3 linked regions of the Cricetulus griseus genome follow. The main gene of each other region encodes a partner of the protein of the gene in region 3 in a complex. Links are inferred from orthologs where the notes say so. Each region holds a gene or a part of one and is shown on either strand. Other genes may lie near its edges.

What was found.
Region 1: the proteins of Etfb (region 3) and Etfa are in contact, whole or in part, in a crystal structure (PDB 2A1U), measured with the Homo sapiens proteins. The link is inferred for Cricetulus griseus from reciprocal best matches to the Homo sapiens genes ETFB and ETFA. Residues at the interface, in NP_001976.1 of Homo sapiens: Ile14, Tyr16, Val18, Ile20, Val22, Val29, Thr31, Phe41, Leu102, Arg106, Lys124, Gln125, Ile127, Asp128, Asp129, Asp130, Cys131, Asn132, Gln133, Gln136, Met137, Ala139, Gly140, Phe141, Asp143, Trp144, Pro145, Gln146, Thr148, Phe149; in NP_000117.1 of Homo sapiens: Glu27, Leu88, Pro89, Glu90, Ser113, Ala114, Phe115, Lys117, Asn118, Pro121, Arg122, Ala124, Ala125, Lys126, Glu128, Val129, Ala130, Pro131, Ile132, Ser133, Arg146, Thr147, Ile148, Tyr149, Ala150, Gly151, Asn152, Ala153, Leu154, Cys155.
Region 2: the proteins of Etfb (region 3) and Acadm are in contact, whole or in part, in a crystal structure (PDB 2A1T), measured with the Homo sapiens proteins. The link is inferred for Cricetulus griseus from reciprocal best matches to the Homo sapiens genes ETFB and ACADM. Residues at the interface, in NP_001976.1 of Homo sapiens: Glu73, Arg76, Thr77, Tyr192, Ala193, Thr194, Leu195, Pro196, Ile198, Met199, Lys202; in NP_000007.1 of Homo sapiens: Glu43, Gln44, Lys46, Glu47, Phe48, Thr51, Lys54, Phe55, Glu58, Glu59, Arg80, Glu83, Leu84, Gly85, Leu86, Leu98, Leu100, Ile108.

Annotation. Positions count from the first base shown.
Region 1 is NC_048597.1:167,107,386-167,110,895, forward strand, and holds part of Etfa (electron transfer flavoprotein subunit alpha, mitochondrial), read right to left. Parts: coding exon 3,422-3,510; intron 2,663-3,421; coding exon 2,561-2,662; intron 1,127-2,560; coding exon 1,058-1,126; intron 1-1,057. UniProt on the Homo sapiens protein: Heterodimeric electron transfer flavoprotein that accepts electrons from several mitochondrial dehydrogenases, including acyl-CoA dehydrogenases, glutaryl-CoA and sarcosine dehydrogenase.
Region 2 is NW_023276806.1:5,452,572-5,456,520, forward strand, and holds the start of Acadm (medium-chain specific acyl-CoA dehydrogenase, mitochondrial), read left to right. Parts: upstream 1-1,148; 5' UTR 1,149-1,216; coding exon 1,217-1,255; intron 1,256-3,807; coding exon 3,808-3,895; intron 3,896-3,949. UniProt on the Homo sapiens protein: Medium-chain specific acyl-CoA dehydrogenase is one of the acyl-CoA dehydrogenases that catalyze the first step of mitochondrial fatty acid beta-oxidation, an aerobic process breaking down fatty acids into acetyl-CoA and allowing the production of energy from fats.
Region 3 is NC_048599.1:152,602,734-152,606,904, reverse strand, and holds the start of Etfb (electron transfer flavoprotein subunit beta), read right to left. Parts: upstream 2,809-4,171; coding exon 2,752-2,808; intron 1-2,751. Other genes in the region: Cldnd2 (claudin domain-containing protein 2), read right to left, coding at 3,518-3,591, 3,820-3,939. UniProt on the Homo sapiens protein: Heterodimeric electron transfer flavoprotein that accepts electrons from several mitochondrial dehydrogenases, including acyl-CoA dehydrogenases, glutaryl-CoA and sarcosine dehydrogenase.

The sequences.
Region 1 (3,510 bases), on a different chromosome or scaffold from region 3:
ATAAACCACACCTGTTCTTTTCTCCCAACTCCACATTATACCCATCTTCAGTTGTAGTTACTTTTTACTTTGCTTTGTATCATATTACTTGTATTTTTTAGAGTTGTCCCCTAGTTACTAGATATTTTATTGTTGTTTTCTAGCTCTTTTTTCTCTTTACTTTTTAGCTTTAAGCACATCTGTGGCATATCCTCAAATTCAGAGATTCTTTCCTCACTCCTTCCAGTTTTCTATGTTTATAAGATGCAGTCATTTCTGCTACCATGGATTTTTTTTTAAAAAAAATCTTTTTTTAAAAAAAAATCATTTTTTCCAGTACACACATACATACATATGTATGTATGTATGTGAATATATATATATATATATATATATATATATATATAGGAAAGTACATTTATATATAGTCATACAGGAATCAGAGCATGTGAGGAGGTTGAAGAACAGCTAATAAGAGGTCTGCAGAAGGCTCTGAAGGTGGCATTTTAGTACTTTAAAAATCAAAACTAGATAGATTCCCAAGGCTTGGCAAAAGTAAAACTGCCACATACTCTTTAAAAATTACTAGGAAACCCCCCTTTAATGAGATGTTTCAGCATTTATTGGAGGTCTAAGAAAACCACTGCAGAAAGAATAAAATAATGGTCAAAACTGGAAGTCATGTTAAGCAAAATAAGTCAGATGCTGAAAAGCAAATATCTTATGCTTTCTCTCATGCAGAATCCAGTTTTAAAAAAAATAAAGACATGGAAATCACAGGGGAACTACATGGAAAGAGAAGGAGGAAAAAGAAGGAAGAAAAGAAACAAGTAATCACGGGAAAAATGACCAAATGATGTGATGTACATCAATAGAAATGCCACAACCAAATGCTATTTTGTATAATTGATAAATGATAACAAAGCTGAGTTGATAAATAAACAAAATAAAAACTGAAAACCATAGAAAGCAAACTAATGTGACTTATATATATATGGAGGACTTATATATAAATGAAACAATGAAAAACATTTCCAGCATAAAGAAAGCATTCTGGTACAAAGGAAGATGCCTTTACCTGCAGCGTGCAGTTGATCTGCCAGATCGTACAGTAGCTTAAAGTTCTCCCCACTCTTCAAGCCCCGACCTCATTAAAAAAGATAAAAGAAATTAGGTATATACAAGTTTCACTCTGTAAAATGTTTGCCATTTTATATGCCCAACTGAAAGCCCATATTACAAACTGCTGCATTAAAAATATTACCTTCTCTACAAAGCCTTTTCTGACATCTATGAAGCAGTCAGCATTGCAATTAATTAACTACATAAAGAACACTGTAATGTTTGCTGTTTCTCCACTACAATGAAAACACTTTCTAAGTTCAAGATGCAAAATCCACTATTCTCTAGGTCACTGCTCTATCTGTGATATTAGCAAACTCTGACAAGAACTTGGTAAATATTCCCTGCATGACTGAATGGAAGTTCCTCCTAGATTTCAAACTCCTTAAGAGCAAATACATTCTAATTTTTTATTTTTATTTCTCCAGAAAATGAAAATGCATCAGGCCCATCACAGAACAGATATGGACTAATATTTGCTAAATATACAAACCAATAAACAAGATAAACATCTTTGCAAAATATTAAACCGCTCCCTCTGAATACCTCTTGAGCAATAGATGGCTGTTGGGAACATTAACTATTTTGTTTAATGTTTAATTTGGAAAGATTTTAAAAATCACATCATTCCTTAACTTCTCAAAAAGTCAGTCAACATATTATAAAGGACAATACATAAAAAGAGGTAAGTGTTATGCCACACTCAGGCCCTGACATTAACTGTAAAGGGCGTCCTAAGTGTCATCCACAAAGACCTGTATAATCCTGAAAGCCCTTGAAAGTAGAATGGGGCAGGGGGTTTATATACAACTTCAAGATTACAACCACTTTCCCCACTATTCAGAAGCAATCAAATGCCATAGAAAAACACAGAAGTCTGTAAAATAAAAACACCATGTGGCAGAGGTGTGGAATGAGATTTGTGCCCTGTTCCCCAGATGCCATCAACAAATGTGTGACAGTAAGCCCAAATTTTGTATTATTGTCATAATTTCATATTCCTGATAAAATATGACTAATACTTGCAACTTACCAACTGCTGACATTTGGAAAGAAAAATTAAGTGGCTGTAGAGATGGCTCAGTGGTAAGAGCACTGGCTGCTCTTCCAGAGGACCCAGGTTCAATTCCCAGCACCCACATGGCAACTCACAACTCTCAAAATTCCAGTTCCAGGGGACATGACACCCATGGCAAAACATCAATGGACATAAAATAAAAACAAATAAAATAAAATAAACCCACTGAAATGTAAAAAAATAAAAAAACCCTCAAAACAAAATAGAAAAACCTATGCTCTAGACTACAGACTCAGCACAATAGTATAGAGCTTGCCTACCACATGCAAGACCCTGAGTTCCATTCCTAGCACCACCAAAAACTACATAAAAGCCTGTATTTTTTAAATGAAGTCTACAGGGTATAGCTTAAGTTATCTTTTAAATTACTACTGCACTTACCACCAGATACCACCACTTTGGCACCGGTTAATTCTGGTCGATCACTTTTTGTCAACTTCTGATCAAGCCACTCTGATATTCCCACTGGTGAAGAACTTGGTGCTGCACACATTGATCAATTAAATTAAAAAATGATAATGACTTCAAGTTATATAGTGATAATTATTTTTAAAACCAACACACAAACATCCAATTCTAGGAAATTTAAGTTCATAAATTTTCATGTTTCCAATTTAATTTTCTTTAATTATAAAGGTTTAAGAGGACAAGATTATTTTGGGAAGTCATTTGCTACTCCTAAATTCATCTGTCAAAACCAGAATAGCCAGGTGGTGGTACACACCTTTAATCCCAGCACTTGGGAGGCAGAGGCAGGCAGATCTCTCAGTTTGAGGCCAGCCTGGTCTACAGAGCGAGTTTCAGGACAGTCAGACCTATTACATAGAGAAACCCTGTCTTGAAAACAAACAAACAAAACAATCCCTAGAATAATCAATTCTCTCTAGTATTCAAATAACATGTCAGACATGTTAAATTGTGACCCCTATTATTACATTCTTCTATTATATTGAATCACTCAAATGTCACAATAGTAAACAATAATGAAAGTTAAAAAGTCCTAACACAAACATAACAGATTAATCTTAATTGATCTCTTTCCTACTCTTTCAATCTACCAAAATGATTATCCTTGTACCAAGAGGAAATGAAAGAGACATAAATTATAATTATTTACATAACCTTGGAATATGGGTCAGTTGAATTTTTACTTTGCACTAGAAATGAAACCAGAGGTCATCTCTTATTCTGACATAACCCACAGAAATGCCAGCCTATCAAAAGGCTCAAATGAGTACTTACCCTTTTCTGAACTAGCACTACCTCCACTTGTTGCTGCAGCCTCAAAAGATGTCCCTCGAACAGAAAACACCTTCACTCTCTCATCACAC
Region 2 (3,949 bases), on a different chromosome or scaffold from region 3:
AACTATTAGAAGACTTTCTCCGGAAAGACTGTTATTATTATTAATCTTGTTGATTGGACTATTTATCTCACAATGAAATCCACACCACCATTTACAGGCTTTGGTGTGTTGGATAATGCTACAGGCAAGGCAGAGAGTAGCTGAGAATTTTTCGCCATTCATTAGTGGCTCCAAAATAAGTTCCTGTCTCCACTCTGCTTATTTGAAGCAGAAAGCAAGAGGCCTCTGACAGCACATTTTCCTTAATCTTTGGCAACTGAGGTGTCCAACACAGAGAAGTTTATTATCCCTCACCTCCATAACACCCCAGCCACCATCTCAGGCCCTAGGTCTAACTGGAAGACTTTGAGCTGAACTCGTGAACAAAATGTTTACTCCCAATGCTCACTGGCAGGGGAGCTTTTAGATGGGCTCAGCTTGCGTGTCCAAGGATACTTTACACACACACACACACACACACACACACACACACACACACACACACACACACACACACGTGGATGGACAAGAAGTAACCCTGAGCATGTTCAGAAAAGTACAAGTCATTGAAGCTGTTTTGCTTTGGTTTGTTTAGGAGTTGGATCTTGCTACTTAGCTCTGGCTGGCCTCAAACTCAGGGTAATCTTCCTTCTCAGTGTCCTGGCAGTGCGCAAGCGATTGCGTTCCTATTTAAAATGTCAGAGGCGCGGGCATCCTCTCGCTCCAGTGCAGCGTTGGGAGCTGAGCACACACTGAAGCCACAGAGTGCAAGTCGGTGGATCTGACTCTCCGAGTAAAGGTCACAGCTGCGCCCTCTGGCCCGGATGGAGCCCGGCCAGCTCTGGGGGGGACACTGCCCGGAGGACGCGACCTCGGGGAGCCGGTGCCCGGAGGCAGACAGCCCAGCCCGAGCCAAGGTCGCGTGCACAGCGCAGGCGCGCGAGAACCTGGGCCCCTCCCTCTTCGGGCACCGGCCCAGACCCCAGAAGCGCCTGACACCCCCAGTCTGCCGCCACGACCACGCCCCCGAGGCCTTCTGCCAGGGCGGGCCACGCCCCTGCCTAGCCAAGATTCAGTGGGTCTGTTGAGTCGCCCTGCCACGCCCCACATTTCCGCGAAGGCCCCGCCCCTATGGCCCCGCCCCGAGCTCCACGCCACGCCCCTGTGGGCGGGGCCCCAGGCGGAGGCGCTCAGTAGTTTGTGTGCGGTGGTCGAGGCGGGCGAGCGCGGAGTCATCATGGCAGCTGCGTTCCGCAGAGGCTGCGGGGTGAGCGGGGTGCGAGCCGGAGCGCCAGCCGGAGCGGGAGCCGGAGCGGGAGCGGGAGGGAGGGCGGGCGGGGGCCTGCGCGGACCCCTATCCTCATCCACCCTTCCCGAAGGCGGGGCAGCCGGGGTCCCGAACCCGCTCTGGCAGCCGGGAGTTCTTGCAGAAAACTCTGGCTGCAGCCCCACGCGGAAGGCGTCAAAAGGTGTGTGGTTCCGCAGCTTCGGGTGAGCAAAGGTGTTAGGATCCCGGGTGAGCGGCTCAGAACTAATCCTAGCCGAAGGGAACGCCGGAGGTTTTGTAATGCACCGGCAGGCTTCCAAAAACTCAAGGGAGAAGGCAGAACCTGCGGAAGAACATCTGTGTCTGTGCCCTCCAGCGTTGTCCTCCGAAGTCTGTTTAGTCGCTAGATTCTCTGGCATCTTAAACAATATCGATGTACTCGTACAGGCCTTCCATTTCTGCCACCTGAAACTGGATTAAAATTGCCTCTAACCCCACAAAAAGACGTAATACTAGAATTTACAGTGATTTCATTATGGTACTGATTAGATATAAGTTAACAGGCTCTAAAAACAGAACTTGCAGGGCTTTTTACATTAGTTTTAATTCTTAACGACAGAACTAAAGGCTTCCTGGTCCCTCCAAGGGCAAGTGAAGGAAAGTGCAACCCCATAACTAATCAGAAAACGTGTCACATTTTTATATCTTTTCCCACGCCGCTGTAAACCCAGACTTAAATGTCTAAGAAATTTCGTTATTTAGTTGTGCTCTTGTAGATTTGAGAACTAAAGTTACTGGTTGTTCCCATATGTGGAATTCTGCTGCTTTTGGACAGTTTTTTTTTGAACCGGGAATAATTTAAACACAGTATTATGACTAGAATTTGAGAACATCGTATTTGTTGCTTATTTATATCCAGGCTGGTCCAGAGCTCACAGCTTCTCTTCCTTCCAAACACTGCTACCTATCTTCCAAGCCTGGCTGTCTTATCTTAATCATCTCCAGTCATCCACCAGGATAGTGAGCCCCGTTTTCCAGGTGTGAATACAGTAAGGATTCGGGAACACTGCTGGCCTGCCCCTGTCACCTGACAGATGCACTCTGGCAGTGACCTGGTCAGCCCAGCTGCAAAGGACTCTTTTAAAAGACAGACCCGCCCACTTGTGCTCTCTTTCCCTTTCTTTCCTGCTGTTCCCCTGGGGCAGACAGGACTTTTCCTGTCTCCCTCTTCTCTGCTGCCCTCTCTGTCCCCATGTCTCTTCCTTTTCTCTTTCCTTCCCCCCACCCCCCACTACCTTTCTAATGAAACTTCTCACTAAGCTCTGTCTGCCTGGCGTGTTTGTCCCCCTAAGTCACCCTCGACTGCCAAGGAATCCTCAAGGTTCCCCATGCAAGGTCCCCCTCAAGCTTTATCATAACTAATATAAGTTGTGTATTTGGAACCGTTCTGAGATGGACATTTGTGAATCTTGCACTCAGTGTTGCAACACTAGCTTCTTAACCCAGTGTTCTTTGTTTATTCTGTTTCTGCAAAGCTACCACACACACACACACACACACCCTGCTCATCCTGCACAACCAATTAGAGGCCCGTGTGTTAAGCTACTCTAATTAAATGACTAATATCAATACTTAACCAGCCCAGCCCTGGGGCCTCCACTCCAATTTTGTAGACAGGTGATCTTCATCTAATCTCAAGTGGAGGCAGAAGAATTAGGATCCCAAGGCCAGCCTGGATTCCACAGTGGGCTTGGGGCCATCCTGAACTACCTCAAAAGAATTTGTCCTAAAACAAACACAAAACCAATTATTAGGGCCTGGAGTGGTGGCGCATGCCTTTAACCCTGTACTCCGGAGTGAGAGGCAGGTGGATCCCTGGGGGTTCAAGGCCAGCCTGGAGTGAGTTTCCAGGTCAGCTGTGGCTATACACTGAGACCTGGCCTCAAAAATAAAACAAACTTTAGTAGCAACAAAAAAACTGCCTTCAGGGACATACACACCCAACTGATAATGGTTTGTTTTCTTGTTTGTTTGTTGTTTTTCAGTATTGCTACTCTTGCCAAGGACCCAAGTTTGCTTCCCAGCACTGACGTGGGTGGCTCACAACTGTCCATAACTCCAACTCCAGGGCATTCCACACCCTCCTCTGGCCTTTCCCACACATATATGTAGACAAACACATAAGTGAAAATAAAACCAAACTAAATAGCATTTTCTTCTGTGGATAGGTGTCCATCTAGCTTGTAATTTACTTTTGAATTATAACTTTAAGTATTTGGTTACTGACTATAAAAACGTAGCTCTTGAATGTGACCATATATATGCTGTGCTCATTTTGGATGGTCAGTATAAATAATTTATTTGTGCCAGGGTATGTCTGTGTGAGACTCTCAGAGTGCAGAGTAGGTGTGGAGGTTAGGTGTCAATAGTGGCAGTCAGTTTCCTCCCACCAAGTGACTCCCAGGGATCAATCTTAGGTCATCAGTGGCCCAGCCAGTGTTCTTTCGTTTGATTGATACTCAGCTTATCAGACTTAATTGTGATACACGTATCTTTTCCAGGTCCTAAGAAGTCTTTCTCATTTCGAGTGGCGAGCACAACACACGAAAACATCTGTCAAGCAGGAGCCAGGATTAGGGTTTAATTTTGGTATGTGTTATGTCCTGTCCTTTGACTTGAAAATATATGTTTGCAATATGTTTG
Region 3 (4,171 bases):
AGGGTCCCCAAAGCCAGCCCAAGGACTTTATACTGAGAGTGCTGGGGAGCCACAGAACACCGAAAAGGGCAAGACAAGGTCAGTCCTGCATGTAGGAAGTCCCTAAGGCTGGATGAGAAAGGGCTGAAGGAGAGAGCCCAATAATACAGGGGCCAGGCCGGATCTCGGGTTTAAGTGGAACAGGGGCCAATGGGCTGGGACCTGGGGTCTTGGGCCTGGGGCTGGAAAGGAAACCATAGTGTATTAGGATTGGGGCTGAGAACTGACAATTCCTGGGAGGTTGTGGGATAAGAGAAAGAATGGTGCCTAAGTCTGGCCCAAGTGATTAGGTCGCTCTCGAAGTCTAACTCACTGCCTCCCCTGAAGGGAGTACCAGCAGACATTGGATATGAAGTAGGAAGCCCTGCATGCCGGAGTGTGAAGGAGAAGCGCCACCGACCCTGAGGAAAGGAGAGCAGCAGACACCATGCTGTGTTCACCTCTTAGCTCTCAGTTCTCACTGGAAATACCAGAAATGACCATGGGCCACGTTCTGACTGGGTGGTGCTGGGATTAGAGCCAATTCAAGGTGGTGAGGATGCTGGGTGTGGTGCTATAGGCCAAGCATCAAGCCCAGCTGAGAGGCTGGGGATGGGAGTCTAAGCCCAGCCTGGGCAATTAAACACCTCAGAATAAAACTCAGAGACACAGGCATGGTAGTACACATTTGTAATTCCAGCACTAAGGATGTGGAGGCAGGAAGATCAGGGTTTCAAGGTCATCCTCGATATAGTGAGTTCCAGGCCAACCTGTACTAAATAAGACAGTCTTTTGTTTGTTTGTTTGTTTTGTTTTGTTTTTTATTTTTTGAGACAGGGTTTCTCTGTGCAGCTTTGGAGCCTATCCTGGCACTCGCTCTGGAGACCAAGCTGGCCTCGAACTCACAGAGATCCGCCTGCCTCTGCCTCCTGAGTGCTGGGATTAAAAGCATGCGCCACCAACGCCTGGCTAAATAAGACAATCTTAGGGGCTGGGGAGATAGCTCAGCAGCTAGGAACACTTTGTTCTCTTCTAAAGGACCCAGGTTCAGTTCCCAACACCCTGTCAGGCAGCTCACAGTCACCTGTAACAATGGCTTCAGGGGCTCTGATACCCTGTTTTGGCTTTCAAGGGCATCTATACTTATGTGCGCATATCCATACACATAAACATAATTAAAAAAATAAATTAGGGACTGGAGAGATGACTCAGTGGTTAAGAGCACTGATTGCACTTCCTGATGACCTAGGCTACCCACAAGGTAGCTCACAATTGTCTGCAAACTCCAGCTTCAGGGTATTCAACAACCTCACACATGCAAGCTACAGGCAAAACACCAATGCACATAAAAAAAATTAAATGAATCATTTACAAATATTAAAGGAAAAGGACCCTGTTTCAAATAATAATTATAAAAATAAAACAGTAAAAGGACTGGAACTATAGCTCAGTGGTACAGCACTCGCCTGGCCTAGCATTTGGAAGGTCCTGAATTTGATTCCCCATCAACACACACAGACACAATAAACAAACAAATAAATGGTGGTTGAGTTGGGTCCCAGGAACCCATGTATGTCTCAGTAAGTCTGGAAACCATCTCTGCCATGAGCTGCTAGAAGCATCCTCAAGCCATCCTGTTTTCTCTCTAGCATATGGGCTGAGAGCCAGATTTGCCTGGACTTCTGATTCTTGCAGCTTATCCAGCTGGGGGGATCTGTAGCAAGGCCTCCACAGGCCTAGGTTTCCTCATCCGCTCTATGGGGTTAAGAGTACAGAAGATGTACAAATAGATTATAGTCTCTGTACAGGACTTGTTTCTGCTGGTACTTTGTACCCACTTCAATGTCTGCTGTTAGGGTCATGGCCATTTCACATCTGAGTCTGTTGCCTGTATTCCTCAGTGGGGGTATGGGGATGCCGGTATTAATGTCAATGTTGTAGCCAGTTTTCACCTATTTTGGAGGTCTCTTGGGTGCATAGACCCTATGCTATGAATGCTAGGAAATTTGAAGGACACGGAGGGAGAATTCCCAGTATGATGGGGACAGACGTGAACTGCCACCATCTTTTTCATTCCAGTTCAGTTCGACCAGTCATTGACAGAGACTGGCCTGGGAAACAGTCTGATTCATAACTGCCTATACCAGCTAGGACCTCTGGGGTCCAGCCCTCAAACCTCTCTCATGGGTTAGGGTTAAGCCTCCCTCCACTGTCTGTCAAGCTGGCGCCTTTGCATTAGCTTCTCCAGCAAACAAAAGTCTCCTTCCCTTTCTAGCAAGAGTTTCTTCAAGCAACCCGTGGTAATGTGTGTGAGGCAGTTTCTGAGCCCCATGGAACCAGATGGCTCCCCATGTGGGGTACTTGCAGAGCAGGCAATGCAGTCAGGCGGGAAAGGGATGAGTGACTGAATCACAGGCCCTACACACAAGTCTCTATTCCGCTTCTCCCTTGCTAAGTGACTTTGTGCCTTAGTTTCCCCATGTGTTAAATAGGGACTAGGACCCTCCAGCCCACAGTTATCAAGGGACTGAGAAAGAGGGAAGCGGGGTCATGACTCCAGAAGGATATGATTGTCCGAAACTCACAGCCCTTGATCTTTGCTCCAGGTATGACTGACTGGGTCAAAGGGCTATAGAATTTGAGAAGGATCCCAGGCAGGGTACGCTCCTGATCCTGGAAGCTCACAGCTGCGGTCTCAAGGTGCTGGGGCAGAGTCGGGGTGGGGAAAGTCACCTTCACAGCGAAGTCGATGACCCTCTTGACAGCCACGAGCGCGCGCAGCTCCGCCATCTTCCTGTAGCAGTCACCGGCCGGATCGGGTAGCGATGAATCCAGACCTCAGGTCACTCCGCCCCGTCTGTCTCTCTGCGCCTGCGCGTCGCACCACCAACCAGTCAACCGCCGCACAGCCCAGAGGAAGCCAATGGTAAACGGAGTTCAGGGAGAGAGGCGGGATCCAGGGCGGGCCGATGGGTGGAGGGGGCGTGGCGCAGAAGTAGGGGAAAGGGCATCCCTAGGAGTGAAATTTTCTGGGAGAGTGTTCATCCTACTCCCCACCCCCCATACTTCTGTTGTCCTCAGCTTTGCAGTTCACATCCAGGTTCTCTTTTTCTCACTCCAAGTCGCCGTGTCTGTTCCCACGCGCACCCTACGCCTTTTTCCCCATGCCCGATGGCCCTTTGCTTGCTGGAACTCCGCGTTCTTTCTGTAGATTCCTTCGATATCTATGCATCTACACTTTCCTTCCCCGTGACTCCCCCGCGTCGGCTCGTCCCCATGTCCTCTCCCTGCGTCCAGGTCTCCTGAGACCCACACCCCCACCCCGGGTCCACTCCAGGTCCCTTCCGATCTCCCTTCCCACCGGCCCGCATTCTTCCTGACCCCCTTTACTCTCCACGCGCCCTCCGTATCCGTGCCCCCGCCTATCTGCGTCCCTCAGAAAAGCACGCAGGACCGGCGTTAAAACCCTTTCCTTTATTCTGCCCCAGTCAGGCTGCATTCACAGGCACACTGGGAACCCGCTGATGGCTTCGGTGCTCTGCATGATCATGTCCGCCAGCAGAAAGCAGAAGCCTGGCAGGAGGGGAGTGCAGAGCCGGTGGAGGAAGTTGGGTCCTGGGGCGGATGACATGGCCTGCCTGAGGACTAGGGATGGGGGCTCCAGGGGTGTCTCCACCGGGTGTGCTGGAGTCTGGAGTGCGGGTGTTGGGCTTTCCTGGGAGAACAGGTGACTGGGAAGTTTCTGGGACGGGGAGTCCTCTAGAGGGGTAATCTCCACCCTCTTTCCCTTGTGCTGGTTACCCGCAAGAAATGAGAAGGGTAAAGCCAGCCATCCGAAAAAGTAGGACCAGGAGAAGAAGACCTCTTGCTTCCAGGCATTCTTTGCAGTGTATCCCGTCAAAGCAATCATCAGCAGCAGCCCTGAGTCACGCCCACCGGTCAGGTGAGCGGGACCAGGCGGGGGGGGGGGGGGGGCAGCACCCAAGCCCACCCCTATTGCCTAGACCACGCCCTTCAGAACAGCCTCTGGTGTCCAAAGGTAGCCCAGCTACCCTTTGGCTCCACTTTTGTGAACTACCCCACCCAACTCCCCGTTTTCTTTTCTTTTCTATTTTTTAAGAATAGAGTCTTCCCTTGTACAATACATCCCGAC